Regions from separate parts of the Mus musculus genome. Here all the other regions are reported to be linked to region 5. Evidence: microRNA targets listed by miRTarBase, many of them from high-throughput screens and not tested one by one. Region 5 holds a microRNA gene; each other region holds the end of a gene's coding sequence.

What was found. The annotated mature microRNA mmu-miR-5119 reads CAUCUCAUCCUGGGGCUGG and lies in region 5 at 1,588-1,606, opposite strand. An mRNA with a match to its seed (bases 2 to 7 or 8) in the 3' UTR can be bound and repressed. Matches are read on the target gene's strand: a 7mer-m8 pairs with bases 2 to 8, a 7mer-A1 pairs with bases 2 to 7 and ends in A, and an 8mer does both.
Region 1: the mRNA of Golm2 is a reported target of mmu-miR-5119. Seed matches in the 3' UTR shown: 7mer-A1 at 838-844 and 7mer-m8 at 3,313-3,319.
Region 2: miRTarBase lists Rcan3 as a target of mmu-miR-5119. Seed matches in the 3' UTR shown: 7mer-A1 at 1,822-1,828.
Region 3: miRTarBase lists Ranbp10 as a target of mmu-miR-5119. Seed matches in the 3' UTR shown: 7mer-m8 at 967-973.
Region 4: the mRNA of Zc3h12a is a reported target of mmu-miR-5119. Seed matches in the 3' UTR shown: 7mer-m8 at 1,166-1,172.
Region 6: miRTarBase lists Sv2b as a target of mmu-miR-5119. Seed matches in the 3' UTR shown: 8mer at 2,467-2,474 and 8mer at 1,316-1,323.
Region 7: the mRNA of Plekhh1 is a reported target of mmu-miR-5119. Seed matches in the 3' UTR shown: 7mer-A1 at 2,461-2,467.

The regions. Positions count from the first base shown.
Region 1 is chr2:121,932,817-121,936,883 of GRCm38, forward strand. Golm2 (golgi membrane protein 2) reads left to right here. Exons shown (of 10, transcript NM_001205369.1): 10 at 662-3,404. The coding sequence ends at 732. Among named protein-coding and RNA genes, the nearest start is that of Gm39916, 9.1 kb to the right of the region's middle.
Region 2 is chr4:135,412,998-135,417,064 of GRCm38, reverse strand. It overlaps Rcan3 (regulator of calcineurin 3), which reads left to right. Exons shown (of 5, transcript NM_022980.4): 5 at 467-4,067. The coding sequence ends at 645. Mir700 (microRNA 700) reads left to right here and starts at 432; the gene lies at 432-510.
Region 3 is chr8:105,768,031-105,772,097 of GRCm38, reverse strand. It overlaps Ranbp10 (RAN binding protein 10), which reads left to right. Exons shown (of 14, transcript NM_145824.5): 13 at 1-3; 14 at 381-3,790. The coding sequence ends at 511. Among named protein-coding and RNA genes, the nearest start is that of Gfod2, 11 kb to the right of the region's middle.
Region 4 is chr4:125,115,625-125,119,691 of GRCm38, reverse strand. It overlaps Zc3h12a (zinc finger CCCH type containing 12A), which reads left to right. Exons shown (of 6, transcript NM_153159.2): 6 at 1-1,278. The coding sequence ends at 413. Among named protein-coding and RNA genes, the nearest start is that of Zc3h12a, 10 kb to the left of the region's middle.
Region 5 is chr11:98,260,177-98,264,243 of GRCm38, reverse strand. It overlaps Mir5119 (microRNA 5119), which reads right to left and starts at 1,638; the gene lies at 1,582-1,638. It also overlaps a transcript of Cdk12 not described here.
Region 6 is chr7:75,113,868-75,117,934 of GRCm38, forward strand. It overlaps Sv2b (synaptic vesicle glycoprotein 2 b), which reads right to left. Exons shown (of 13, transcript NM_153579.4): 13 at 1,027-3,911. The coding sequence ends at 3,728. Among named protein-coding and RNA genes, the nearest start is that of 4930533N22Rik, 86 kb to the left of the region's middle.
Region 7 is chr12:79,078,798-79,082,864 of GRCm38, forward strand. Plekhh1 (pleckstrin homology domain containing, family H (with MyTH4 domain) member 1) reads left to right here. Exons shown (of 29, transcript NM_181073.3): 28 at 163-309; 29 at 641-2,858. The coding sequence ends at 796. Pigh (phosphatidylinositol glycan anchor biosynthesis, class H) reads right to left here. Exons shown (of 4, transcript NM_029988.2): 4 at 1,872-3,699. The coding sequence ends at 3,607. Among named protein-coding and RNA genes, the nearest start is that of Pigh, 8.8 kb to the right of the region's middle.

The DNA of each region.
Region 1 (4,067 bases), not on the chromosome of region 5:
GTTTTTATAAGACTTATTTATTTTTATTTATATGAGTACACTGTAGCTGTCTTTAGACACACACTAGAAGAGTGCATTGGATCCCATTACATATGATTGTGAGCCACCATGTGGTTGCTGGGAATTGAACTCAGGACCTCTGGAAGAGCAGTCAGTGCTCTTAACTGCTGAGCCATCTCTCCAGTCCATAAGATAATGCACAGCACTAGCTCTTCAGTGCTGTGAGTTCCTAACATTTTGCTAGCTCTGTCTGTCTATTTCCCCGGTACCTGTCAGAAGTGACTCTGTTCTGTTTGAAAGTTGGAGATGATTGGTGTTTCTTTGAGATGGGGTTTCATGTAGCCCAGGTAGACCTCAAGTTTTCTATGTGGTCCAGGCTGGTCTTGAACTTCTAATCCTTTTGCCTCAGGCTCCCTAGAGCTGGGATTACAGGTGTGAGCCACTATGTCCAGCTAAGAATATTTGTTAAAATTAAATCTTACAAAGTAATGATAGACTATTTACACTTCAGCCATGTGGCTAAGGAACAGAGCACTGTTTAAGATAACAAGCACATATGGGATAATGAGAAAAGATTGCTGAAAAACTGGAGACACTTTGAAGCTGGCTCTTTGCAGCAACTTTGGAACTCTATTCTTGATACATATTATTTTGCTTGCAGATGATGAAGAACGAGAGCTTCAGATGGATCCTGCAGACTATGGCAAACAGCGCTTCAGTGATGTCCTTTAAGTCTAAGGGATTCCCGAAACCCAAAGTGCTGTGCAACAGATCATCTCTACTTGTCAATTTTGACTTTTGCTGTAAAGATCAGTTGTATCAGTTGTAAAGATACATTGAGATAGATTTAAGGAAATTTTAATGAAGGAATGTACCAATGTACATATGTGAACTTTTTCATATTATATTATCAAAGCAGATACTTTTTTTGGTTACTACACAGCTGGGCCAAAAACAGTTAATCTTTGCATTTTAAAGCAAACTAATGTAAATTTCACATTTTATTGAGCCTAATTTTTTTTTCACAAAGAGACAAACAGGAACAAATGGTTGTACAGGTTATATGCTGCACATAGTATAACCACAATGAGAACTTATTCGGCTGAAAAGTCCACATTACTACATTTTTGTTCCCCCATAGGTGTCCTCTACTACCCCTCAGTTAACACTCTTGAAGAAGTTCTGAATAGTTACACAGAAGTGGGGAGGCTGGATGCCAGACAGTGGGCAAATGTACAGAATGGCCTTCTACTCCTTTATCTTACATGGGCCCTGATGTGAGTGTGCTGAGGCCTGATGAAAAGCCTAGGTCACCGTTACATCCTTACCATATCTATCAGTAGTTCCTTACTTGGTTCTTGAAGTTGTGGAATGCATGGTTGACAGTGTATTTTTATTTTTCAAGTAATACCAGAACTGTTTAACTCTGGTCAGCACTGGCTAAAATTCTTTCTATTTTCAGAGCTCAAGCTGGTGAATACATTCACCAGTTAAGAGTCAGACCCTGAGAGAGACTGAATCCACTTTGAAATGAGTCTGCAATCAGTACAGCAAAGCTTTGCTGGTAGTTTTAATGATCGTATTTGATTAGACTTTTCCAGAACTACTAAGTAAGGGATTTTAACAGGTTTTTATTAATGAACAGATGAGTAGAAGTACCGTGAAGTCTGCAGCTATTTTATTGAAATAGCTGAAAACTTTGTAATAAAAAATGAGTATTTGTAATTAATGTTAGTTAAGAACCCACCAAGCTCATTTGCTAGACTTACAGAATTATTTTCAGTGCATTGTGTCTTTTGGCATTATTCATTAGGATATATAAGCTAGCTAATCCTTGTTTACTGATTTCAAGCACTTTTAATTTTTTTGTGTTCCCTAAAAATTAAAGGTGTTGATCATAAGGCTGTTAATCCCAAGGCTATTATTCCTTTTTTTTTTTTTAAGAAGGGCTGCTATTAATTACACATAAGCATGAACTACTAGAGAGTGACTGTAGCTCAGATGTGCAGAGGCCTGGGTTTGATTCAAACACTAAAAACAGCAGACAAGTAAGTAGACATGAAAAGTCCCCACACTAAGGCTCTAATCCAAATACTAACAGAAGTATTGTTCACCTGCTGACATCTGAAGTCCTTATAGTTCAGTCCAAAGTTATTTAATGGCCAGGAAAAGATGGAATAATTTATTAAAATTTGTTTTTTCTGCTATCTCAGATTATATACCACTGGGCATGTATCACAACTGCAATCCTAGTGTTGAGGAAACAGAAACAGGTGTGTCCCTGAGGCTCACTGAATAGCCATCCTGGCCTAATTAGCAAGTTCCAGGTCCCTGTAAGGGACAGTTGTTCCTGAGGAACATCTACACACACACACACACACACACACACACACACACACACACACACGCATATATAAACAAGTTGACCCTCTGGCTTCCACATACACTCATAAACACCTGTACCTACATGTGCACACATGTAACTGCACACGCACATACCCACACACCAAGAAACTAAACAGTTCATGATTTTGTTATCAGTAAAGCTAGGCCTCTGTAGTAAAAAGTATGGTTCACATTAAAATACAGTCAAAGGGGAGTGACATACAACCATGGGCATTAGAAAGGGGAGCTGAACCTACAAATGCCTAGTGATACTCCATACTTGATACTGTAGAACTGTACAGACAAAATCATAAAGATGCCTGTTGGTTCCTCTGTTATAAAAGCAGTCACTTGATTTTATGGTACCTATCTATCTTTATATGGAAAAAAACTTCAATTAGCAGCCTAGACATTTTATAAACTGAGGAATCTTGGACCAATTGATAATATTTCTGACTGTATTAACATTTTAGTGCTATAAAATACTATGTGAATCTCTTTAAATTGTGACATTCTACAGTCTGTATTAGACATGCTATTTTGTTCTGTTTACAGTGTTTTACTTCTGCCTTAAGATTTAGGGTTTTTTTTTTATTTTGTTATATTTTAATATATTTTGCCCTGAATTAAGTGTTAATTTGATGGGAACTCTGCTTTTAAAAAAATCATCACTTTCTGGGTTCTAATAAATTAAAAGTTAAACTTGTTTCACAGTTTTGATTATATATATATAATTACATGAATATAAACATTTACATCTTGACATTAAAACTTGAATAAATGTTATCATTTATTTTAAGGTAAATTGGACTAAAAGACTAGGGTTGGGCTGGTGAGATGGCTCAGTGGGTAAGAGCACCCGACTGCTCTTCCAAAGGTCCAGAGTTCAAATCCCAGCAACCACATGGTGGCTCACAACCATCCGTAATGAGATCTGATGCCCTCTTCTGGTGTGTCTGAAGACAGCTACAGTGTACTTACATATAATAAATAAATAAATCTTTAAAAAAAAAAAAAAAGACTAGGGTTGTTTACTGTAGAACCAACTTATTCTGTAAAGGTTGAAAGTCTTTTGTGTCCTTAGAATTAGTTGGTGGTAGTGAGATTGTAAATAAAATAGACAAGGTCTTTTCTAGAGGTTACATTAATGTGGAAGCAGTCAGCATGAAATGGATAAAATAGAGATAAAGTGGAGAAATGGGAAAGTGGGTGTGGGGTGACCTAACCCTGGGGAGGAGAGTTAAATATTACTAAGTACACATCAGACAGACAGACAGACCCTGGGCCTGATTTAGGTTTTTGAAACCTCAAAGCCTACCCTTAGTGACATCCCTCCTTCAACAGAGCCACACATCCTAAATAAGTACACTCTATGGTGACCAAGGATTCAAATCTATGAGCCTGTGGAGGCCATTCTCATTCAAACCACCACGTAGATGTATGTGTATGTACACATGCAAAGAGTTAGGTAGTAACAGAGGCAGAGATTGTTAAAAAGAACTTATACTACTGTGGGCAATAATGCTTCCTGAAAAAACCATTGACTACCTAACAAAAACTCTAATATCATGCCTGAGAAACCACCCTCTCAAGTTGTTGGGTAACAGACTTCAAGAGACGCAAAACAATATAAGCTGTGGCTGTTTTCCCTGGTTGTCTCTCATTGCTGAAGACATGATACA
Region 2 (4,067 bases), not on the chromosome of region 5:
GCTGGGATTTGAACTCTTCGGAAGAGCATCAAGTGCTCTTACTCACTGAGCCATCGCATTAGCCCGACAGTGTCTTTACAAATAGAATTTCTGCAGGGCATGGTGGTACTCAACTTTAACAGCACTTGGGAGGCAGAGGCTGGCAGCTCCCTGGGAGTTCCAGGTCAGCCTGTCTACACAGTGAGCCTAGGCCAGCCTGGGCTACATAGTGCGACTCCAGGGAGTTTTTGTTTTTGTTTTTGTTTTTTTTAAATGCCAGCACTTGGGAGATGGAAGCAGAAGAATTAGAGTTCAAGGTCAGCCTCAGCTACAGCAGCAAGTTTCTAACTGGCCCAGATTTCATGAGACGCAGTCTTAAAAAAAAAAAAAAAAATCAGCCACTGAATGACGTAGTAGAAGAGGAAGTTGGGAGATAGAAGAACTTGATTTCCTTCACTGGGAGTAAGGCTCCTTCCTGTGCTTGCAGGGGAGAAATACGAACTGCACGCGGGAACCGAGTCCACCCCCAGTGTGGTGGTGCACGTCTGTGAGAGCGAAACTGAAGAGGAAGAAGACACAAAAAATCCAAAACAGAAAATCACGCAGACGCGGCGCCCGGAGGCTCCCACGGCGGCACTGAGTGAGCGGCTGGACTGTGCACTCTGAGCGGCTGCGGTGCCTGCCGCGCCTGCCTGTCCCACCACTACAGCTGCGCCTGTCTAGGAGCACAGCCCAGGGATGCTGTTGCATCCGTCAGGCAGTTGGGCCAGCCTCCCCAGGCCAGAACGTGGGGTGAAGTAGCAGATTCGGCCAGCTGTTTGAAATTCTGAACAGTATTCTCAATGGCACTTTAAGTGACAAGGTTAGCCCTGACCATGTGGCACCTGTCTCCTCCCCCAGAAATATTAGTTCCCTTGAACCTGTAGAGCATTGGGTACCACAGGCCAGAACTAGAGTCACCCAGTGCACTGCCATTTTTACAGATTTAAAAATTAGTCTTACGGTTTCAGTACTTTGGTGTGGGTATTTTTGTACAGGTGTGGCAGTGTCTTAACAAATATATTGAGCAAAGGCTGAGTGTTGTTCAGTAGACATGACCTTTTTTTTGTTGTTGCATGAGAAGAAACCCGAGATACAAAATCATTTGTAGAAGTCATTTCTCACAAGTATTTTTTCACTAGCTTTGAGGATGAAAGGCCAAATGACTGAGATTGTCAGATCCAGATATCGTGGGCAGATGTGCTCTTAGCTCTCCTGGCTGTCCGTCTGTCCTGCCTCTCTTGGCAGTCAGTGACAGTGGTGTACAGGACTCTGCTCCCAGCTCAGCCCTTCCCAGCCTCGGCTCTGCTGGAGGAATCTCCCTTTGCCAGTGGGATGTGTCACCGGGAAGCTTGGCTGAGGACTACAGAGTTGGAGTCTGTGGGGCAGCTCTTCAGTTACTCTCTTGACCCTCCTAATGCCGGCCTGCTACTGCTTGAGGTTTCCTGTGCTGTGCGTGTAATCAAGGACGTTAGTCGTCTTAACTTTAGAAGATAATGATAAGACTTTGTGAAGACCGCTTTAAATAGGGAGAGCCAGTTTGCTTTTGTTTTCTTCAAAGACAGGGTTTCACTTTGTAGCTCCTGGGCCTCAAGTCCTCTGTGATCCTCCTGCCTCAGCTTCCCAAGTGCTGGAATTAGAGGGGTGAGCACCACACATTTCAAAGTTTTCCATTCAAGTATTTCAGCTGTTCAGAAAGAAAAATCACCTGTCCTTTCCCCCATGGATTAGGGAAAGTAATCATTCTTTTGGGGGTGGTTGGGTTTGTTTGTTTGGTTGGTTGGTTGGTTGGTTGGTTGATTTTGAGATAAGGTTTCACGCTGTAGCTCATGCTAGCCTGTCACTCATTATGTAGCCCAAGCTGGCCTTGAGGCCCAGACCACTCTCTTTCCTCAGGCTCTGTTTGTTTGGATTGTAGGCATGGGCTTGTTGTAGTCTATGCTTCCTCCTTTAACAATCATTTCCACCTTTGCTTGCAGTTGGCCCTCAGGTAGAATTGCTTCTTACACTTGAAGATGTGTTGTTGGGGCCTCCATAGGTCACTCAGCATCACTGGTCCCTTGCAGACTTTCCTGCCTTTGAGTGCTGGGCTACAGGTACATCAGCTGCTCCACTCATCAAGTATTCAGAGCTGGCTGGCCTAGGTGAAGGGGCTGGGCATAGAACAGAGAGGAACATAGCTGCAACTGCAAAGAAAAGAACGTAGAGAAATGAAGCCATGAGAGCCGTGTACTTTGCGTGACATGTTAGGGCTGAGTCCTTTTGTGGTAGGATTGATTTCATGAGCGTGCATGCATGAGCTCACACACAAACACACGCACACAGGTGCATTGTCTGTCATTAAAACCGGGTCCCATGTAGTCCAGGTTGACCTCAAACTTGCTGTGTCCCAAGGATGACCCTGAACTGCTCCTCCTGCCTCTGTCTCATAAGTGCTAGGACTGAGGGTGTGTGCCACCATACCTGACAAGAACAGGAGAGTGTCCCTTGCCTTCAGGTCCTGTGGAATGCTGAATTCTGCGTTTGCCATTGGGAGCCCTCCGTGCAGATTCAGTTGCAGATTACGATTCCACCCGCATTGGTTTTTAGATCCAAGTCATCTGTCAGATAAAGTGAGTTTGGTTTTGAGGTGACAGCTCAGTGTGGCCCAGGTTGGTCTCAAACGCCAGGCCTCAGTGGGTCTTCCCAGTTGACTGGATGCAGGCACACAGCTGCTGTAATCCTGAGACTTTGGAGGCGAATGCAGTAGATCAAGAGTTCATCCTTGGCTTACAGTGCTTTGCAGTGCTGAGCTCGGCAGTGTACTTCATTTGATTGTAAGGTAGACCCTAGCTGCCAGCAAGTGTGTTCTCACAGTTGGGGAGTTTGTGTGTTCCCCGTTATACAGTACACGTTCTCTCTAATTTTCTATGTGATCATAACCCTGTTTTAAAATTTGTCTTGGCTTTCATTTTCTACCCCTCAATGAAAGAACATTCTTTTTTTTTTTAAGTCAAGAAGTTCAAATCTGCATACTTGATGCTACCTTGGCCACTGGCAGTTGTGTTGCCACCTTATCTGGGTTCCCTGGATAGTCACATTCATGCCATGTGTTAGAATTTACATGTTAAAATGTAAACAGTAGTGAGAGCGGAGCCAGGCACAAAGGATGCATGGAGTTAAAGGTTCTACGGAATGTCCCTCTCCCTCGGTTTAGAGAATCAAGTTCTATTCCAGACTAACGGTGGGCCTGGGCTTTATATTTTTATGTAAACTATTTTTAGACTGGAGGATTTGGTTTTCAGAGGAAAGCTTTACGCATAATTAAACCATGGGAGTGTACTGGATTCTTTGATGCCTTGGGTTCACACCTACCTGCTTGCCTTCTTCTCTATAGAGCCTGAGACCTCACCCCGGGTCACCTCCAGCCTCCCTCTGTGCTCCATAATACATCTATCTTAAAGGAAACCGTTGTCTGGGTGTGGTGGCCCTGGCCTGTAATCTCAGCCTGCAGGAGACTGAGGCAGGAGGATTGAGAGAACGGGGCTAGCTTGGGCTACATGAGTTAAACCGTCTCAGAATAAGGTTTTTCCTTTTTCTTGGTGTGACAGTACAGAGCAACTGGGAAAATATTTACTTCTAGCCAAGAAGTCTGTTCTGGACTCATTCTACACAAACTTAAGTACACACACAGAGAGAGTACGATGTATGAACCTTGAGCAACCACATGACAAATGACTGTTGGTGTTTCAAACTCCCTTCAAGAGTGTGTTCTCCAGAAAAGCCATCCCTCTCAGAGTGCCACTGTTTCCCTCAGTCTTGAGTGGAGCGCAGTTCATAGTCAGGATTACCGTGTATTCAGCACAGTGACATAGGCTGTCCTCTCAGCGCTTGGGAGGCAGAGGTACCAGGGCTTGGCAAGCTTAAGGCCAGCCTGGGCCATGTACCGAGACCCTGTCTAAAAACAAGGGGATTCCTGGGTGTCCAGGTATCCCAGGGACAGATAACAGCAACTGTGCATCTTGTCCACGGCTGGGAACGTGCCGTATTCCTTCCCTGTGGTTTCTAGT
Region 3 (4,067 bases), not on the chromosome of region 5:
TAGGTGAGTGCATCTAATAAAGGTAAAAGCTAACCATGGGTGTGAATGTCGCCGTAGACCCTTCAGAGGCTCCTGGGCTTTTAGGACTAATCCCAACCCCAGCCTCCCTTTGCCCAGCTGAGGTCATTGGCTGCTAGTTCAATGCCACATGCCACGTACCAGGTCAGCTTCCTTGCTCTAGAGGAGGCCAAGGTCCTCAGGTTTTCCCATCATGAAAGCAGGCCCACAGCCTGGTGGCCTGGTGGCTAGGACACTCAAACATTGACACTCTTCCCAGAGTCCTGCCCATAGTTTTAACTCCACCCTCCATCGTTAGGAATTTTGACCTGTGCCCAAGTCCTTGGCTAGGTACTGACCATACCTTGTTATCTCTTCCACAGAGTCTCAGAACCTGCCAAAGCAGCCTCCTTTGATGCTCGCCCTGGGCCAGGCATCTGAATGTCTACGGCTCATGGCCCGAGCAGGCCTGGGATCTTGCTCCTTTGCCAGAGTCGATGACTACTTGCACTAGCAGACCTTCCTGGCTGGCTCTGGCTGGCCCTCCTTCAGCCCTAGGGCTGGAGCAGCCCTGTCCTCCGTAGGCATCTGGTACAGAGACCTGGAAGCCATGGGCAGAGTTCACTCTTCCTACCTGGCCGGTCCATCCTCCTTTTCTCCTTCCCTTCCTCCCTCCCTCCCTTGTCCTCTCCTCCCTGTCCCCTTCCACGTGCAGCGACCTGTGACTCAGTATTGGCTGGTTACTCATGTGGTAGCTTCTCCTTTAAAGGAGATTTTGTTTTGAGGAGAGGTTGGTTTTTTTTTGTTTTTGATCTTGTGTTTTTTTTTTTTAACTTTTTTTTCCTCCTGACTGAGCCACCAGTGTTTATCTCGGGAGAGTTTGTGCTGAGCTGGTGTCTGCTAACTTAGTAATGAAGCCTATCCAGGTTGATGATAGCTTATTATTTTCATAAGTAAAAAAACAAACAAATGAGATTATATATATATATATATATAAATATATATTAAAAAAAAAGTCACAGTATTTATCGTAGCACTAGTGGTCCAGCACCTCTTGGGTGAGGCTGTCCAGACACCATGTGTTTTTATTTGAGTCCAACTCATTAAAAAAGAATCATCTCTTGTCACTTCAATCAAGTGATTTGTTTATTTTAGGCTCCCCTTTTGTTGAGCCTCAGGTTCAGCTGCTGCCCAGGAAATATGGGTTTTGGGGAAGGCTGTTTGGTGGGCAAGGTCAGACTAAGCTGTTTTGCAGCATCCCAAGAGGTGTGGGTCTCTAGGCCCCCTATAGGTAAACAAAAGAACTGCAGGTTCAGGGATTCAGGGAAGTGAGGTGGGCCAGGGGCACACAGCAAAGCAAGGGAACACAGGGTCCGTAGCCAGCATGCTGTCTACCACTCTACCCTGCCTCTCACTGCCTGCCTTGCCCCTCTCTCCCATCTCAATGCCTGCCTTCCCTTGTTAAGATGGCCAAATAATTCATTACTCTCAGTTGATTGCCTGGAAACTACCTGCCTTCATCCCAAGAGCTGCTGTGTGCCAGGCTGCCAAGAGGAAGCCATTCCCAAGACAGAGGCCCTTAAGGACAGGGCTCTTTTCTTCCTGCCAGAGTCTTCACCATCACTGCCCAACCCTGATGGGATTGATGCTTTCTGTGGAGAAGTTGGTACCTCATGGAGACTGATTCTTGGATCACTGGTCCCAGAGTGGATGGAACCCTTGACTTCCTGATCCGGATTTCCCTACAGCTTAAGGAAGGCTGCTCCCTACAGCGTGGCCCCAGCGACTCTTAGGAAGGGGGGACTCCATGGGCCTTACATATGTCCCACCAGCTGTTTCACAGGATCCTCACAGCTGGCGGGACAACAGCAACAACAAAACCCACTATCCCAGGGCTGAGATGCTGCCAGGACATGAGTAGGCCATCTGTGGAGGGGACTGTCTACCAAGGAAGAGGAGGGTCTATACAGAGGACACCTAGGAGGGCCAGGATTTTACCTGCTTCACAGGGTGAGTGAAAAGCCTAGGCAACCTCTGCAAAGATTAGGGTCAACTGTGGCAAAGCCACAAGTGAGTTTCCAGTCTCCAAGTGCATCTGGGCAGGGGAAGCTTTTGTTCTGCTGGTGGACACAGAAATCAATGGCAGAGCTCGAGATGTTCTGTGCCCACCAGTCCTCACAAGGCCCACAGCTGGACAAAATTGAATTAGACCATCTGTCAGTGAGGAAGTAGGGCCTTGACTGAGATCCTCCAAAATTTTGCTTTAGGGTCTAATCCTACAGGCTACTATGTTTTCCTGGTTCCTGTCAGGGCCTTAGTTTACAGCTCCTCAGGAGGTCTTGTCCTATGTAAAGGAAATTTCATCCTGTCCAAGGCTGGGACACCCAAGCTCCAAGCTCAGGTTGGAAATATCAGGCTGTTAACAATGGATGGGCCTTACATTTGGAAATGAAAACCAGAGGCATTTGCAGAGCAGTGGAACTTAGAGAACCTCTCCACCAGTCCTCTCCTTTTACAGTGAAAGAAACAGGTCCAGGAAATTAAGTGATTTGACCAAAGCCACACAGCAAATAGTGGCAGAACCAGGACTAACTACTCCTGTGGGTTAGACAAGTCCTGTCGTGACCTAAAGCAAAATGGCAAATGAGCTTTGTAAGGGGTTAGGTTGGCGTGAGTTCAGCAGTGCCTGAGCAGCTGGCACCTTTCGTGGTGTGACGGGTAGGGATGGGTGCTGAGACGTGGATTGCGGAGTGGCTGAGAGGGCCTTGGACGGCTTGGGACTGCTGTGTGCTGCACGGGATTGTATGTCCACCTGGCTCACACTCAGTACCCATGGCCACCTCCCCATTTAATTCTGTGCCTTATCTCACTGTTTCAGCTGAGTCCAAGTTGTTTACTCTGTTCCTCTCCAGAGAGGCTTTCTGTCCTAGTTGGACAGCTCACTTTGGGGACATAAGCCTTTGTTCCACAAGCTGTGGGGAGGGCCAAAATCAAGCTGCTGGAGCCAGTAATTAGTCCAGTCCTGCTGCCAGAGGAGACCTGTATGCACCCCCAATTCCACTAGCCCATTTCCAGGAATCTGGAGTGAGGAGCAGTTCCTGGAAGCAACTTAGCAAAGAGCTGGACCTGACCCTGGTGTGCAAAAGGAGGACCTGGCCGGGTTGGGTTTGTCCAGTCCTGAGGTAGCAGCATTTCCTAGCTCACTTTCCCTAGGAGGCACAGATGGCAGCTCCTTGCAGAGCAAGGGCCAAGTTGGCGGATGACTCAGAGTCCCTCTCCCCCAATCCCTTCCTCTGAGGGTCTGTGGCTAGGTGCAGACTGGGTGCAGAACATCACAAACTAAAGAAGTAAGGACTGCCTGGCTACCCAGCACCTTCCCAGTCCTTAAGCACAAAGATGAGGCAGAGGACTGTTGGGGCTGAACGTTCCTTTGGTTGCTCACAACTCAGGTATGCATGTCATTCGGCAGCTGGACAGCAAAGCCCTACTTCACCACCAATCACAGGCATTTGGACCTGTGGCCAGATGGTGGCTTCTGGCTGTCCCAGTGCCCACCTCTTTGCATCGGTTCCCTCCATTATCAACTACAGCTGAAACTGGCATCCTCCACAGTGTGCACACTGGCTCTGCCTTTGTCCTTGCAAGTTGATATTCGGCATTAGCATGAAACTTGTGGTGTGAGAGGGTTGACAGAATTCCAACACAAACATCCTAGTAAATTGTACTTGAGATGAAAAGATTCCTGTTGTATTTTGACAGAATTATTTTTATTAAAATACACATCCATGAGCAATTGTGTCTGTTGTTCAGAATCTTACTGGAGTTGGGGTTGGGAGGCCCTACCTCTTGGTACCTCGGGGACTTTTGAAATGTCAACTTTCAACTTTACAAGACTCCAAAAGGGACAGGGACTTGAGCTGTTCTCGATTGAAATTGTTCTCAGACATGGAAAAAACAAACTCAACTTCAGAAATGTGGGCTATTGCTGGGCGTGATGGCGCATGCCTTTGATCCCAGCACTCGGGAGGCAGAGGCAGGCGTATTTCTGAGTTCGAGGCCAGCCTGGTCTA
Region 4 (4,067 bases), not on the chromosome of region 5:
CCACTCGGGGCCCCTATGCAGGTTATCACAGCTATGGATCCAAGGTCCCAGCAGCACCTTCCTTTTCTCCTTTTAGACCAGCCATGGGTGCTGGCCACTTCAGTGTCCCCACCGACTATGTGCCCCCGCCACCCACCTACCCATCCAGAGAGTACTGGTCTGAGCCGTACCCATTACCCCCACCCACTCCTGTCCTTCAGGAGCCCCAGAGACCCAGCCCCGGGGCTGGTGGGGGCCCCTGGGGCAGGGTGGGTGACCTGGCCAAAGAAAGGGCTGGTGTATATACCAAGCTGTGTGGTGTCTTCCCCCCACACCTGGTAGAAGCTGTAATGAGACGCTTCCCACAGCTGCTGGATCCGCAGCAGCTGGCCGCAGAGATCCTGTCTTACAAGTCCCAGCACCTCAGTGAGTAAGCCAGAAGGTGGCGCAAGGGGCTGTCGGGCATCACAGATAGCGGTCCCCAGCCCCTGCCTGGCCTACCCTGGAAGCTGGACAGAAGGACAAGTGAAGCAGGCAAGGGAATCCTCAAACCAAAGATACCATAGGATTGGTTCTGGCCCCGCGGCACCCCAACCCGTCCCGCACAGGTCAGAAGTGATCACCCTGTTGATACACATTGTATCTCTGTCATTTAAGGAGACGCTGCCGGTCAGGCCGTCCATCCGTGGCTGATGCCCAAACCCTCTTTTTTTTTTCTCAGAGGGCCGGGTGGGAGGCATGGGGGAGCAGAGGCCTGAGCTGGACCCCACCTTCCACCCTGTCCCTGGGACGCCGGCACCACCGGCTAGTTAGGCACCATGTGCCTGCTCTCTGAGGCCCCCTCAAGCCAATGCGGCCTCATCCCTGTTCACAGGGCATGAGGCTTCATGTTAGTAAGCAAGATGCTTCTTTAAGCCCCTCCCCTGCCCGCTCTGTCCACCTACACACCCCCCCCCCAACCAGGGCTCCAAGGCCCTCTGTTTCCACACCTCCCATGGGTGGGAGGACACATGTATGCTGTGTACAGAGGCGAGATTTAAATATTTTAAATGAAAAAGGTTGACAAAATAAAGGCTATTGCCAGGCAGGCTGGAGAGATGGCTCAGTGGTTAAGAGCACCGACTGCTCTTCTGAAGGTCCTGAGTTCAAATGTCAGCAACCACATGGTGGCTCACAAACATCTGTGATGAGATCTGGTGCCCTCTTCTGGGGTGTCTGAAGACAGCTACAGTGTACTTACATACAATAATAAATCTTTTAAAAAAGAGAGAAATTTAAAAGAAAAAAAAAGCTATTGCCAGTCGTTTTGAGAGGAAGTTGTCCTTACTGTGCCTGGTGGGTAGAGCTGCTCTGGGGTGACAGGAGGCCAGTAGGGCAGATGTCACTCCCTGTCCTCAGAAAGGAGGGTTCCCAGAAGCAGTTGGTCCCTTGGAGCTGAACCTTAATAGGAGGCAAGGTAGCAGGTGACAGCTGCAGGAAGAAGTGTAACGGCACAGAGCCCTGTGGCTTCAGCTGGGTAGAGGGGTGCCGGGGCGGGCGACAGCAGGGATGAAGCTGTTCCTCTTTTCTCTGATGACAAGAATTGAGGGTAGGAAACAGGGAAACGATTTGATCAGGGCCACAGAGGGCGGTGTGATCCAAGTAGGTGAGGGAGCCCTTGGGTGCTTGCACACAGGCTCCTCCTTCCAGATCTGCTGTGTGTCCAAGGAACCAGGGTTGCAGAGCTGGAGGAAGGGCTGGGGTAGTAGCAGCAGCTTGGAGACGCCCTGCCACTGACTCTACCAGCTGGAGCAAGGGACTATCCTTCCCAGACCTCAGTTTCCTCATCTATGAAATGGGAATCCTAATGGCAGCTACCTTACAGGTTTGTCATGAGGGTTCAGTGAGATAATACATGCTAGGTATGTGACCTGCCTCCTGCCGCACAGGCACTGCTCATTAGAAGGCTTCCATAACTGACTCCTGTGGGCAGGCACACAGACTGACCCCATCCACCACGTCAAACTGCTCATCAGCCCTAGACAAGCCCAGGCAAGATAACACCTTCCTCCCTCCTCCCAGCTCCAACTTCAAAGATGAACATGAATATTTTAAATGAAAGGCTAGGCTATCACACAATTCCTAAGCAAATATTACCAGCCAAGGAAAAGGGTGGGGGGAGGCGGAATTACAGCTTTAATAATCCTACCTTTGAACAATTCCTCTGATATTTGTACTTAGTAGTCGGTGTACCTTAGTGCATATTTCTGTTTTAAAAACTACTTCCGTACAGAACAGCTGTGAAGCTCTGGAAGAAAATGTCACTGTGGGAATCCTCCCCACGAGCTCCGCCCAACTTTTCCCTGACCACCCTTCCAGAAGTGCCTGCTTAGGACAAACATCAGGATCCGTTGGCATGCAGGAGCTGGAAGCTTCCCTCCCACAGGAATTAAAGGTGTCTATGCCATGCGTGTTCCTCCCGGCCTCCTCGGGAGCTGTTAGCAGCATAAGGAGAGACGGCAATGCCTTATTTATTCTTACAAAGGAACTACATTGTCCAGGGCTCTGGGAAGGCAGCCAACCATGCACTGAGTTCAATACTCAGCACCTGGTGTTGGAGCGTACACCTGCCATCCCAGCATCCCGGAAGAAGATGCAGGAGGGCCACAAGTTCAAGGCCGTCTTTGGTTACAAAGCAAGTTCCAGGCCAACTTGGCCTGCATGAGACTCTGGTCTCAAACACACGAAATAAAACACACGGACACACAAGGGCGCCAATGTATTCTCAGGTTAAACGGCCGTCTGTGGGCATCTGTTTGTCTTTATGGGATAGGAAGCTAAAATACCGGACAGTCGGGTTCATTATCAGTTGCTTGGCAATGCTGAATGACTTGCCCAAGGTCCCACGGAGGAAGGCAGGCTGGGGCAGGGCTTTCAGTACCCTTCCTGATCCCAAAACCTGACACCAGACTGTTGTGACTCAAGCCTCTGCAGAAATGGGAAGTGAGCTGCTCCTCCCACTGAAGCAAGTAGAATGCTCGCCCACTCGGCTGCTCAGTACGGCCCTGTCTGTACCATACTGTGGAGCTTTGGGGGCCATGAGATTCAGGGGCCGCTCACAAGGGGAAGTGAGAAGAACTCTTCCACTGTCCTGGCTTTCTTAGCCGGAGTTTGAAGTCATCTGTGACTGTCCTATGGGGGTGAGAAATGGGCTGACTCCACAGGCAGGCAGCAGCATGAGTGCCAGCTGGCTATGGCTAATGTTAGAAGGCAGGGCCTGGCCCTGCTGGTCCACTGAAACCAGTGAGGGCTACAGATTCAAACAATAGGTGCCAGCTAGGACCGGGCTCTGGGCTCAGGCCTTCTGATGCCTGTCTTGGTGCCCATGCTTCCTGACAGCTTGGCTCAGCTGGACTAGCCAACCACGTGGCCATGCCTCCAGGCCTCTTTCTCAATCTTGCTTCCAGGCAGGGCTACCCAAGCAGCCTGGCTCAAAGCCAAGGCTGTTTCTTCTCTGTGACTTGCTTCAGCATTAACTCCAAAGTTCTCACCACCTCTTGTCCCCTGGCCACTGAGGCCACTCAGACAGGTAGCACTGGATCACACGGGACCTTGGCCTTCCACCTGTGAAATGGGCACAAAGACACACCACCTCTCCAGACATTACAAAAGAAGACCTTAACTAGCAGCATCTAGAGGCAGTGAGGCCCCAGTTCACGCCCCACTCACTAGCAGGCAGCCCTGGCTACTCACTGCCCTTCTCTCAGGGCTTCAGCTGCCTGACCCACAGTGATCCACGTGGGAGCTTAACGGGGAGGGCGGCAGGGACAAAATGTAACTCCCAAGACCAAAGCTCGAGCCACCAGGCTTGCTGCAAGGGATCAAATTCCAAGCAGCCGCCCCAGCTGCTCCTTATGCCAGCTCTTCCTGGTTACTTGAGCCAAGCTGGGTGATGGGGAAACTGGTGTGTATGCAAATTCTCTGTTGGGAAATGATCTCTGGGAGCTGAGCTGGGCCTTCCCACCCTCCCCTCCCACTTGTACCAGCAGGTAGTGAACTCTAGGTGCTTCAGCAAGTTCTGCTCCACAAGACTAACACCTTGAGAGGGG
Region 5 (4,067 bases):
ACTTCTGGTGTCTCATGCAGTGTTTGGATAGGTGGACTTTTCCACTGAACCTAGAAAGAAGGCAGTGAAGTTCATTAGAGGCAAGAAGAGATAGCATTGTCCTATCTTGACTTAAAGAAATAGAAAACAGGGCTGGTGAGATGGCTCAGCGGATAAGAGCACCCAACTGCTCTTCTGAAGGTCCTGAGTTCAAGTCCCAGCAACCACATGGTGGCTCACAACCATCCTTAAGGAGATCTGACTGGTGTGTCTGAAGACAGCTGCAGTATACTTATATATAATAAATAAATAAATATTAAAAAAAAAAGAAATAGAAAACAAAACAAAAAACAGCTTTTGGGGGAAAAGTGTTTTGTATATGAAGGGGTATGGGTAAGGGAGATATTCACCCTAAAGGAGGTTGAAAGTAACTGAATAATAATGTCAGTACTCCCGTGTAGAGGCATATCTATCTGGTAACACAGGAATGAAGTAACTGCTACTGTTAGAGAGGGCTCACTCATTCTAGCTGGAGAGAGCTTGTTAACTACTAGGTAGGATACCAGAATAGGGCCAAATAAAAACTCAGGACACTTTTTTGGGGATTTCAGAGAAGAAACTGCCCTTGTCACAAGTGGGGTGCTACTCCATGTACAATCAGGCCAGTGGCTTCTGACTGGCTTTAAGTCCCTACCTGGCTTCAAGTATTGTGAATGAGATTGTTTGAGAGGCTCTGGATGCAAGGTAACTGATGGGTGTCTGGAGTTCTTCAAAGGCCATCCCTGCTGCTGCTATCTGCAAAGAAAAATAAGAAGCTACATTAGACACAGGACAAGCAACCAGTGCAAAGAGGGTATGTGGTCATGCATCGGAGATTACAATGTTGACAGCTACAGTAACAGTAACAGTATGATGGTTGCTTTTTCTCCAATTCTCTTAAACCTACATGCCCCCAAAGTGGCAAATGAATCTTAAGAATTCTTCCAGAAGAGCTGACTGTTCCAGATTCCTACCTCCAAAGACTAGTTCCCAGGATGATAAGTAAAAAACCATGGCCCTGATACTTAAGGTATATGTCAGAAAATTTAATAGAATACAAGCTGTGAAACACAGAAATACTATAGAGGCCAATGCATGTTATGGTTAATGCAAGATTCTAACTTGGAGGGGGTAACATAACTTTAGACCAGACCACCATCTTCAATTGGAGGTTCTCTTGTTCATCACAGCTTCTTTAAGGAGTTTAAAGTCAGAAAATGGCCTTAGTTATGAAACAGAAAGGTTTACAAGAGTAGATTAGTTGCAATTTGGGTAACTAGGTTTATTGTGCATTTCCTTTGCAGGAACAAAGTCTTTGCATGGAGATTAACCCCATATTCCTATATTCTTTCAACTATAATGCAGTGGACTGACCACAAATGATACACAATGGGATCTGTCTCCTTGTTATCCACGGACAGTATCAGTTGGTAGATCCCTAACACAGACCTTAACTATCTTCATGTTGCTCAGCATTTTGCTGCTTTCGTCAGCATTTTCCTTTTTGCTACTAACAGGTTCCCAATTTTTTATGTCCAGTAAAAGCAAGCATAAGGAGGTACAGCAGACCCAGCCCCAGGATGAGATGACTTATAGTATCTGTCCCATAGGCCAGCCCTGATAAGCTTATTTTTGGTTCTGACCACTGTGCAACACTTTTCCTTATGCACGGTCCAAGAACACCAAATAGCTTCCCCTAGCTCTACAAATAAGAGAAAGGCAGAAGGTGCCCACCAACTCTCCTGAGTCATGATTCCATATCCCATTCAGTGAAACTCCCTCTAGCCTTGCCTCAAGGTGCTCTCTCTCCATTTGGATTCTTCCGACATAAATTTATTATAATGACAAAGAACCTAAGCTGAGATTTGGTATGAATTTTTCACTTTGCCTCTGAGGAGGTTTTCCCTAGTATCAGTCCCTTAGTTTGGGGCCAAGGGTTCTTTGAAAATTTGGGGTAACTCTACGGGCATTAAGATCTTTGGCTATGACTACCACTTTCTTCCCAACAATTTAGTTATATTGTTAAAAATTATTTGTAAAATTTGCATGCCATTCTTTTTTCAAAATTACATTTATGTATATGTGTATGGGAGGGATGCCTGTGCCAGTGTTTGTGGAGGTCAAAGGACAACTTGCAGGTATTGGTTCTCTCCTTCCATTATGTGGGTTCTAGGGATAGATCTCAATTTGCTAGACTAGGCACTTTTACAAGCTATCTAACTGGCTGTGAAGGAGTCTAATTTAAGACAGTGTCTCACTATGTAGCGCTGGCTGACCTTAGTATCTGCTTGTCTCCACCTACTGACCCGAGGTTAAAGGTGTATGTTACCACACTTGGTTACTAAGAGATTATTCTTGAATGATACATAACATGGTTTCATACTAATAGCTTTAAATCTACTTTTCCTCCTCAATTTCTGTCTCTCCCCCTTCAGAATCTGTTTTTTCCCTTCTTAAAGTAGCCTTGGGTTATTAGGAACAGGCACTCGAAAAGCTGAGGGCTTCATGCTTATTCATGTAGATTAATATTCTGCCTCTGGAGCTAGTCCTAGATAGCGCAACAGTCTTATTGCATGACTGGATGAGACACTGTCCTTCTTTAAGCTTCAGCATCATGCTCTAAAAAGAGGCTGGATTACATACCTCTCTTTAGCTCTGGAAAGTTATAATTCTGTAAGGTGAAGACCTCCCTCCCCTGTGATATTCAGGCCCGACACCCTTCTCTATGCCACTGTAGAACGCAGTACCACTGTAGTATATGCCTTTCTAATACACTTTGAATAAAGCAGCAAATGAGTTCTTCTAAATGCTAAGCCCTTCCTCCTAAGAGGAAAAGTTAAGGGAGCTAACTCTCTCATCTTGATAAAGCAGGCAGACTGTCTCTGCCCACACTCAGACTGGCATACTGCATACACACTTGACTTTGCCCAAGGGAACCCTATATAGAAAGCCCATATACTTAGTGGTTGCTAGTCCAACACAACTGTATGTAGATGGGAAGGATATGTAAATATACCCACAGCAGAGAAAAATACCAAATCCCACACACTCCTGTTTTCTCCTACTTTGTGCCTGTACATGCCTGCAAGAAACCTCGGTGAGAGAGGACACAGCATTCCAGCCTTCTTTCTCCCCAAAGTCAGAAAGAGAAAGACAGTGAGACAAGAGCTACTTGGCTTCCTATAAATTGTTTTGTCCTTCCTCACAGCTGCAATCAGAAGCTAAGGGCTCCCGCAGGCCTTGTTCTGATCTGCTGCAGGCGATGGAGGGTTTTTGAAACGGAGAGGACTTGGCTGCAGCCCCGATTCAGCTGCCGTTGGGGCTGGCTAATGGGCTCATTCGGAAAGACCCCTGCCTGCTGCACTAAAGAGTCCCCTGCCGACCCCCTCCCCAGTCCCAACCCAATTAATAAATGGGGGCTCCCACTTTATGGCTCTGGGAGCAGGAACCAGATATACAAATGAGCCCCAGGGAGGGACAGAAAAAGGCCTTCCAAGAATCAAGCCAGAAGACTGTGCTTCCACAGCACACACCGCCACAGGCATTCATTTCCCATCTTTAAAGCATAACAGAAGAAACAAAAAACAAAACACCACAACCAACTAAAAATCACCTCTATATTCTTCCCCAGATAACATGAGCTAGAAGTTTTGATGTCTTTGCTATATACCAGGATCAGACTTTCTTGCCTGGTTCTCCAAAGTGAAAAAAGCTTGGGGCAGGTACTGGAGGCATATGGTCACAATGCATGCTCCAGTCCTCCTTTAGTAGGGTGTGCTCCTGTCTTCTTCAACACTGAACAAAGGTACACTGCATGTAGCTAACAAGCACCTGCTTCTTAGCAACTAAGCAGCCACCTCTTACCTAACTTTTACCATCAGTTCAACTGTGTCCTGGGACCCTCATCTGGAAACCATCCTTTAACCTCCCCAACCCACACCCCACTCACACCTATGCTGGCAGCAAGCCTAACTCCTGTGAACTCCCCTCCTTTCTTTGGAGTCCCCTGGTCTCACACTAGTGACAGTCTTTATTGCCTTAAGTCTGGG
Region 6 (4,067 bases), not on the chromosome of region 5:
TACCCGACTCCTGCCCCAACAAATCAACGTGCCTAAGTATAAGCAGGTTGTCTGTGCGTCTCCAAATATGATTTGAGTGACTAATACCAACCATGCAGTGTACACGTTTGCTGAAAATGCTAATTCTCATACCGGTCCCATACATACTAAATCAGAATCACTGGGGACGGGGCCAGGCAGTCCATTCAGAGCCATGTGGGTGTCTGTGGGGGTGCACAGGCACATGAGTGTCCACATGCACAGAGGACAACCTCTGCTGTCGCTCTCTAAGCACTGTTCCCCTCGTCCTTGAGGTGAGTCTCTTCATCACCAGAAACTTGACAACTAGACTAGCCTGGCTAACCATCAACACCAGGGATCTCCTGTCTCCATCTCCCAGTAGTGGGATTAGGAGAAGTAGGAGAAGGCCACTTCATCCAGCTTAGTTGGGTCCTGGGGATAGAACTCAGGGCCTCATGCTTGTCAAGTAAGCACCTCACTGAGATACTGCCCCAGACTCCATTCCAGGTGGTTCTAATGAACAAAAAAAAATCTTAGGAATGATTCGTTGGTCTATTTTCTTTCAGTACCAAGAACTCCACTTTGAAGAAATGATGGTTATGTATCCAGTAAATATATTTCCCAGCATGCTCTACAGCAAAGAAGAGCAAAGATATTCATGTTTATAACTGAAAGGGGCCTCTAATAGAGCAAATATGAAGAAGCCTGGTTCAACTAGGAGGGTTAGTCCACAAAAGGAGGCAGCATCATTCTAGACCTTATTATACAGTCCTAGCACATGGGTACCTGGGCCAAATGATTCAAAGTCTGCGTATGAAAGAAGAGAGTTAGAAGAAGGGATTCCAGCACATTAGGAATGCAGAAGAGACATGAGTGAGGTAACATGATCTCTAACCTCGGTTCCTAAAGATTCACTCGTGGTTATTTTCGTTCTTTTGTCATGAGCCAATACCCAGGGAACCCAAAGAGTGGATTATTATGTAATCTCAAGCTCACGTGCTACAAATTTCAGAGCCAGGACACCTCTTTCACTAATCAGTTTTAATAAAACAAAAGCTCAGAAACCAGCATCAGGAGATCCCACAACACAGTTGAGACTGCTGAAAGTATCGGCTCCCAAACAAGCCATCATAAAATACATAATGAACTGTGAACAGTCTGACTCAGTGAGGGAACGGCTCTCTTCTTTAGTCCTCTATAGATGCCATTGGGAGTCTCTCAGGGCAAAAAAAAAGAAAAGAAAAAATGGATGGCTAAGGATGTTGTACATTACACCCCAGTGACCTGACACGGGGACTATTTTTAAAGACACACTTATCTCATCAGGAGTGACAGCAAGTTATGAAGCAGCCAAGTACCATGGCCAGATAACCCTTCATGAGAGAGGCTGCAGACCATGGCTGCATCCTTCTCACATCCCGTGTGATGGATGGACGGGAATTGCCCTTGGTTGGTTAGGCAAACAGGTTAAGGAGCCATAAATGTAATGTAGAAGACAGAGCTTAGAAACCAAGAACAGTTAGCCTAAAATAACTGCAGCCACTCCTGTGCTTTAAAAATTAGTCAGATTTAAAGTTTACAAGATATATCTGACTGTAAATGTGGATTCTAACTGTCTCGTACATTTCTTGAGTGGTAGCTGAGCACTGAGGTCTATTATCCCATTAAAGAACACTGTTATGAGGGATACATAACCACAGATTTATACAATTCTCTCATGATCCTAAGCAATGCATTCCATATCACAAGAAAATGGAAAAGGACATCACAGCTATATTACAGAAAGTTTCTCGTTATCAACAGAGCGTTATCAGTTAATTCCTATAAAACACCGAGAGAAGCATTAATACATTCTGTATATTTATATATATTTATATTTGGAGTAATGGGGGTTATCACATCAGACCTGATGCATCTTCCTTCCCTGGACAGAAAGTAATGGTGGTGTAAATAAAGAGGTGGGGACCAGAGAAGCAGAGTAAACATGTTAGCCACACTTGAAAATGGGAAGTTCTCAAAGATTTCACTCTTTCCCACTGCCAACTTATATTCCAGAGGACTAGGCAAAGATGGCTTGAACTGGCCTGGCATCTAAGTATTTCCACAGAACTGAGAAAACACTCAATGTAGTCATTAGTTTGGTTTAGATTTGGGAAGATTTCTAATAGGTAGAGATTAGCACATCACAGCTTGTGTGTGTGCTGCAAATAACGTGAGCAAACTAGTTCTTACAGTCAGTCAGTCAGTCGTTCTGCTGGCCCAGGTAAGAGCAGCTCAGGTGGCAGGAACTCCTAGCTCTGTCTCTACCATTGCAGAGGGTACTGATGAACAAAAGCCACTCCCTCAGCCTAGCCTCCAGACTGCTGGCACCTGCCAGAGCAGCCCTGACCCCCTCTCCCCTTTCCACATTCAAGTTCCAACCTGGATCTCAGAAAAAGCTTCCTTGGAGCAATGAAGAAACGAATGTATCTCATGCCTTTTATTTCCTAATGTGCATGCTAATGGCCTGTTTCGAACGCCCCGAGCCAACACACAGAGCATAAATTTCTCATAGGTCCTAAACACTATAATAAATGTACATTGTGTTTTTCTTTGAAATCAAACAGGAAGAACTCACATTTTGAAGAACTGTGGTTACCTTTCCCCATCCTTAGTCAGTTATCTGTGAGGGGGTTCTCTCTAAAGAAAAGGAGTGCAAGCAGCCAATAATAAAAATAAAAACATTTTCATTTCATTTCTTCCTGTTCTCTCTGGGTAAACAGCATCAAACAACCTATGGTCCTGAGTTTCACAAATGAGCAACACAGGAGAGAGAAGTACCTGCCCTACCAATTTGAAGAAAAGTTCCCAGGTAAAGGAAATGGCACGTGGCTTGCCAAGTACATCCTCCGGACAGCAAGCAAGATGCTACCCATTCGCACCAAGTTTCCTGCGACCTTGAATGGAGAGTCCTCCCCAAATATGGCTAAAATGTTGGCAACCTTAGCAGCCACCATTTGTGGGAATAAAACCTCAAAACTCTTATATACAAACTTAGTTTACATAATACCCATCCTCACGTTGCTCTGACAAGAGCAAAACCATAATAAATATAGTTCTTAGTGTATCACCTCTTCGTTATGCAAAGTTCAGGATGCTTGGGAAGAAAAGTCCGTCTATATACATTTTGCTTAAAGGTTGGGTTTTTCTATATCAGAGTATCCTCAAGGCTACTGTGCCAGTTTTCAAAAGGAAAATATGATAGGTGATACTTTCAAATGCAAATACGTAGTCTGCTCTCTGAGCCCAGTATGTGTTGACCCCACTCCCCACTATGACAATCTGCTAGGTCACTGGGCTCCCAGAAGCTGCATGGAGGAGCTTAAGTGGTTCTAGTCCTCAACTTCAGTCCGAAATGCAAATAGTTTTTTGCACCTCATTTAGAGGAGCATATACTCCTTGCTTACTGTGTGTGTTTACTGGAGTGTCCTCTCCCTGCCTGGGATGAAGAGACCTGAAGCTAAGCACACAGCTCTGGGATCCCAAGGATGGTTCTGGGCACCCCTAGTCAATCACCTGAGTTAAAAATGTATTAACAACTGCAGTGGGTCCTAAACTAGGGATCACAAAGTCCATTTCTCCTTCCGTGCTGTCCGCGGTATCCTGTAGACAGTGAGAGGCAGGAGGCGTGGCTGTGCTGGAGTGTCCTGAAAAAGATCTTCCCATCTGTCTTTTCCCGGTGGGTTGGTCACATCAGGACTTGCTCTCGAGTCTCTGGCAATCGAAGGGCAATCAGGCCACCTCCAACCAGAGAAGCAGCAGCCAGAAGGATGGGGACCACTTTGGTTATCCCAACAAAAGAAGCAAAGATAGTGTTTCCCAGGATGGCCCCAAACTTGCACAGTCCGTTGAGGATGCCGAAGGCCGTGGCCCTGCAAAAGAAGAGGACAGGAGAGGATTCTGAAATTCTGGGCTTCGCTAGGTGAACGGCTGTATGTTCTTTCCTTGTTGTAAGAGGAGGAGGTGTGGGACTCAATTTCTTATCTAAATATAAAAACAGCGATTTCATTTTAGCCAACACTGGAAAT
Region 7 (4,067 bases), not on the chromosome of region 5:
TGAACTAAGCGGCCATGGTTGCTCTCTCTAACTCCTGCTGAGCAGTGCTGTCTTATAGTCTGGTCACAACTTACATCATCACCTTGGGGCTCTCCCTTCCTGGTTAAGGCTCCCTGTGTCTAAAAGAAAGTTTCCCCTGAACTCGACTGGCTCCTCCCACAGCAGGTGAACATCACTTATCCCTACTCTTCAGTGACAACGTTCGGTGGCTGCAGGGATGACTTCATGCTTGTGATTAGATCCATTCCAGACCAGAGCTCTGGAAAAACCCGTATTGACAAGTTGACCTTCCGAATGCCTGCTCCCAAGGTGGGTCTGACAGCTACTATGACAGTTTACCCTGGTCTGGTGTGATGTGGTAAGCTTGATACTTAGAAAACTCTGGACAGCATCCCTAAGGGTCCGGGTGGAACAGCACGTCCATCTCTCCACTGAGCTGGAACTTGGTGGGAACTGCCTGATCCCAGCCACTGCTATCCCTCCTATCCTCGGGAGGGTACTGTGCATCTCAGACTCTCTAGGCCAGCAGAGGTACATTTTACTGGACAGCTACTCTGTGTGTACCCAATGTTATAGCCAGTGAAGAAGGCAGCATTCAGGATAAGGCTAGTTTAATCCTTTGCTTCTCTAACCTCCTTAGATTACAGAAACTACCTTAATGATGGCCAGCTACATGAACCACTGTTCTGCAACTGTGAACCTATCAGCCAAGCTCCCTGCAGCCCGCCAGCCCCGAGACCTGGATGGACAGTTCTTTGCTTCTGTTTCCTGCACTAAGGGGTCAGCTTTGCTGTGAACATTTCTCCTCCCCATACCCTTGCCACCACTCGTGCCTCTGGGATCAGATTGATACCCTGGAGCATACACTACTGTGATGGGTCTAATGGCCCCTCCTCAAACTGTTCTGTGAATTGTGAATTCCAGGGTCTCTGAAACCTTTGTGCTCTTTAGGTGCCTTACCTTTCAAGGCCCAATGTTCTAAGATTCAGACCCAACATCAAAACCACTATTTTACAAGAATACTGACTCTGGATGCTACCTGATTCTAGATAGAGACAGGGATGGCCCACAGTTACCAGGGCAATGGTACTGTATTTGGGGCTTCTGCACTGATACTCAGGGAAGCTCATCTTTTTATATTATACATGGTCTTTACGTGGGGACTTATACTTGAAGTTTTCTGAACATCCCTGAATAAAAATAGGACTAAAATTCCTAATTTACCTAAACTCTGGCAAATGCCTACAAATCTCTAAAACTGGACTTCTTTCCCAAATGGGAAAAACCCTGGCCAAGCTGGAGAAGGAAAGAATGACGAGCCCTCCCCTATTGGTGAGGAGGCATTTGCCATGCCCTTTTGGGCTCTAATCTTTTCAGGACTGTACAGTATTCCTGTTAAGATTAAAGCTTTTCCTCTCACACTGGACTAGCACAGGCAGGGACAGAGCCAGTCTGCACCCTTCCTGTGTCATTTTAAGGCCCAACAAGGCTCAGTGAAGCCTGTGCTCACTACTGAAGGACGAGGTGGTCATCATCTCCTATTCTCTCCAAGACCAAGCACATAAATTTTGCTTGTTGCTGCTCTAAGAGGCCACCAGAGAAACAAGATATCAGGAACACTAAAGACCCTTCCATTCTTGGAAGGCCTGGATTGCTCACTAAGACTTTTGGTAGAGGGCTTCTCGAAATTAGTTGGAAGCACAGGGCATGTACATATCTGTGGAAGTAGAAAGTTTCTTTCAACTTTGCCTTCCTGAGAATATTATCATCCCTCTCAACGCAAACCTTTTAGTTGATTTTGATGAAGATGATCTTTCTTTCCATCTTTCCCCACAAAATAATAATAATAAAAAAACAAGTCCATACTTTGGTTTTCCAACATATAAAAAATAAGCTTTATTGTGTAGCTTTAAGGCAGTTTTATTATTTTTCAGTAACATAGACTAGGGGATAAGAGGAATATCAAGAAATAAGCCTTTAACCCAACAATGTGTGTGTTGTACACCACAAGAAACTGCAAGGCCAAAAATTAGTTTAATCTGAATGCCTCAGCTGCTGTAATCCCTCATCCTTTGAACTGACAAGCCTGACTTTAAAAAGGCACAAGAGTCTGCCCCTTAAAAAGAGCTTGACTTGCAAGCCAGGCAGCTTTATAGCCATTTCTGTTTGAACCCCAACTCCCACCCCAGATTTGGGGTTCTAGAGGAGACAGGTCTACCTCAAGTCACATTGCTATAGGCCCCTGGACAGCTCCTTCAAGGCTAGGTGAAGGGCAGAGAATGCAGTTCTTGGTTTACATCCCAAGGGCCTTAAAGCCAGTAAGGATGTAGTCTGCTCTCAGGTTGTTTTTGTTTTGTAAACAGAATTCCAGCTAATGCAACTGTTTGTAAGACTTGAAGGTCTGATTAGCTACTGCTGCTGTGCTGCTGCTTTTTTTTTTCCTTTCTCTTGCTCTCTTTTTGAGATAGGGTTTCACTATGCAGACCTGGCTGTCCTGGAACTCACTATGTAGACCAGGCTGGCCTCAAACTCAGAGATCCGCCTGCCTCTGCCTCTGCAGTGCTGGGGTTAAAGGCGAGTTCTGCCCAGTCCAGCGCCTTTTCTCCTTCCTGATCTTTAGCATCTAAGGAACCACCTCTGAAACAAAGGCTTCTGTCAACTGGCTTCCTCATCCTTTAATGTGACAGGCTCATGTCTGGGAACCAACATTTAATCTCTCACTCTTCACCTAAGCCCTCTTAGCCAAACAGCTTTTGAGCAATAGAAAATATTAACAGAAAGGTACTCTCATGCTTGACACCCATGGCTGAAATGCTATGTATGTTTGTCAATAAAACTGTCAGTGAACCAGACAATAACTGTGTGTTGTGGATATTTATCTTGGGGTTTGAGACAGTGTCTCATCACGAAGCCCAGGCTGGCCTCAAACTTTCAATCCTCCTGTTGACAGCTTCTGAGAGCTGGGATTACAAGCATCCACACCATCCCTAGCTAAATTGTGGATGAAGGAGTCATGATCCTGCACAGATCTTAGGAGCTGGGTGGATAGAGGCTAGCCCTTTAGGCATTTTATTCCTGCTAACTCATACATAAAAATGTGACTTATTTTCCCTAACTTTTAGACAAGAGTCTATACAGATGGAAATTACATTTTTCTTGTGAAATCTGGTACCAGTCTTAATACTTCACAGATTTTAACACAAACATGAAGGTACTTAAAGTTTTCAGTGTTCTTTTTGGACAATACTTTTGGGTGGAGGATACTTACTATGTAGCTCAGAATGGCCTTAAACTCAAGAGATCACCTGCTTCTGCCTCTTGAGTGCTGGGACTAAAGGCATGTGCCACTATGCCTGGCCGCCTTTTGACATGTCAAAATCCTTAAGGTCTCCCCTTGATTCGTAGTATAGAAAAAACTGTATTATACAGGGAACATTATGAACATGAATCAAGTTCCAGCCCCTCCTCTGTGGTTCTGAGATCTACTCATCCATTCTGATTCCCAGGACTGTGTCCTGATGGTTTTTACAGTATGGAAAATAAACCGGCCACTACAGTCTAGGAGTCCTCTCCATAAAGACAATACTGGCCTTTGAATGCTGAGCCTCATAAGCTTGTTGCTGTGGCTTTCTGGTGTGCCAGAACCTCCTGGCAGCTTCTGTATACTTCAATCAAGCAGTCCAACCGGGGCTTGGCACTCTGAATTCCAAAGTGGAGAAATACAGAGTCAAGGAGAGTGTAAGAAGAATCCACCTGGCCCCTTAACCTCTCACATACACCACTGGCTCTAAATGGCAGCCGTGAACTAAGAGACACAAGGTTGAGGGAATGAGTGCTCTGCCAGGAGGTCTCCAAATCCAGCCTTTGTATGTGGGTGTGTGGGGAATAAAGACAGGTTTTTATTTGATTTGGCTTTGGTTTGGTTTGGTTTCTAGACAGGGTTTCTCTGTGTAGCCCTGGCTGTCCTGGAACTAACTTTGTAGACCAGGCTGCCTCAAACTCAAGAGATCTGCCTGCCTCTGCCTCCTGAATGCTGGGATTACACGCACGCAAAATACAGCTTTTAG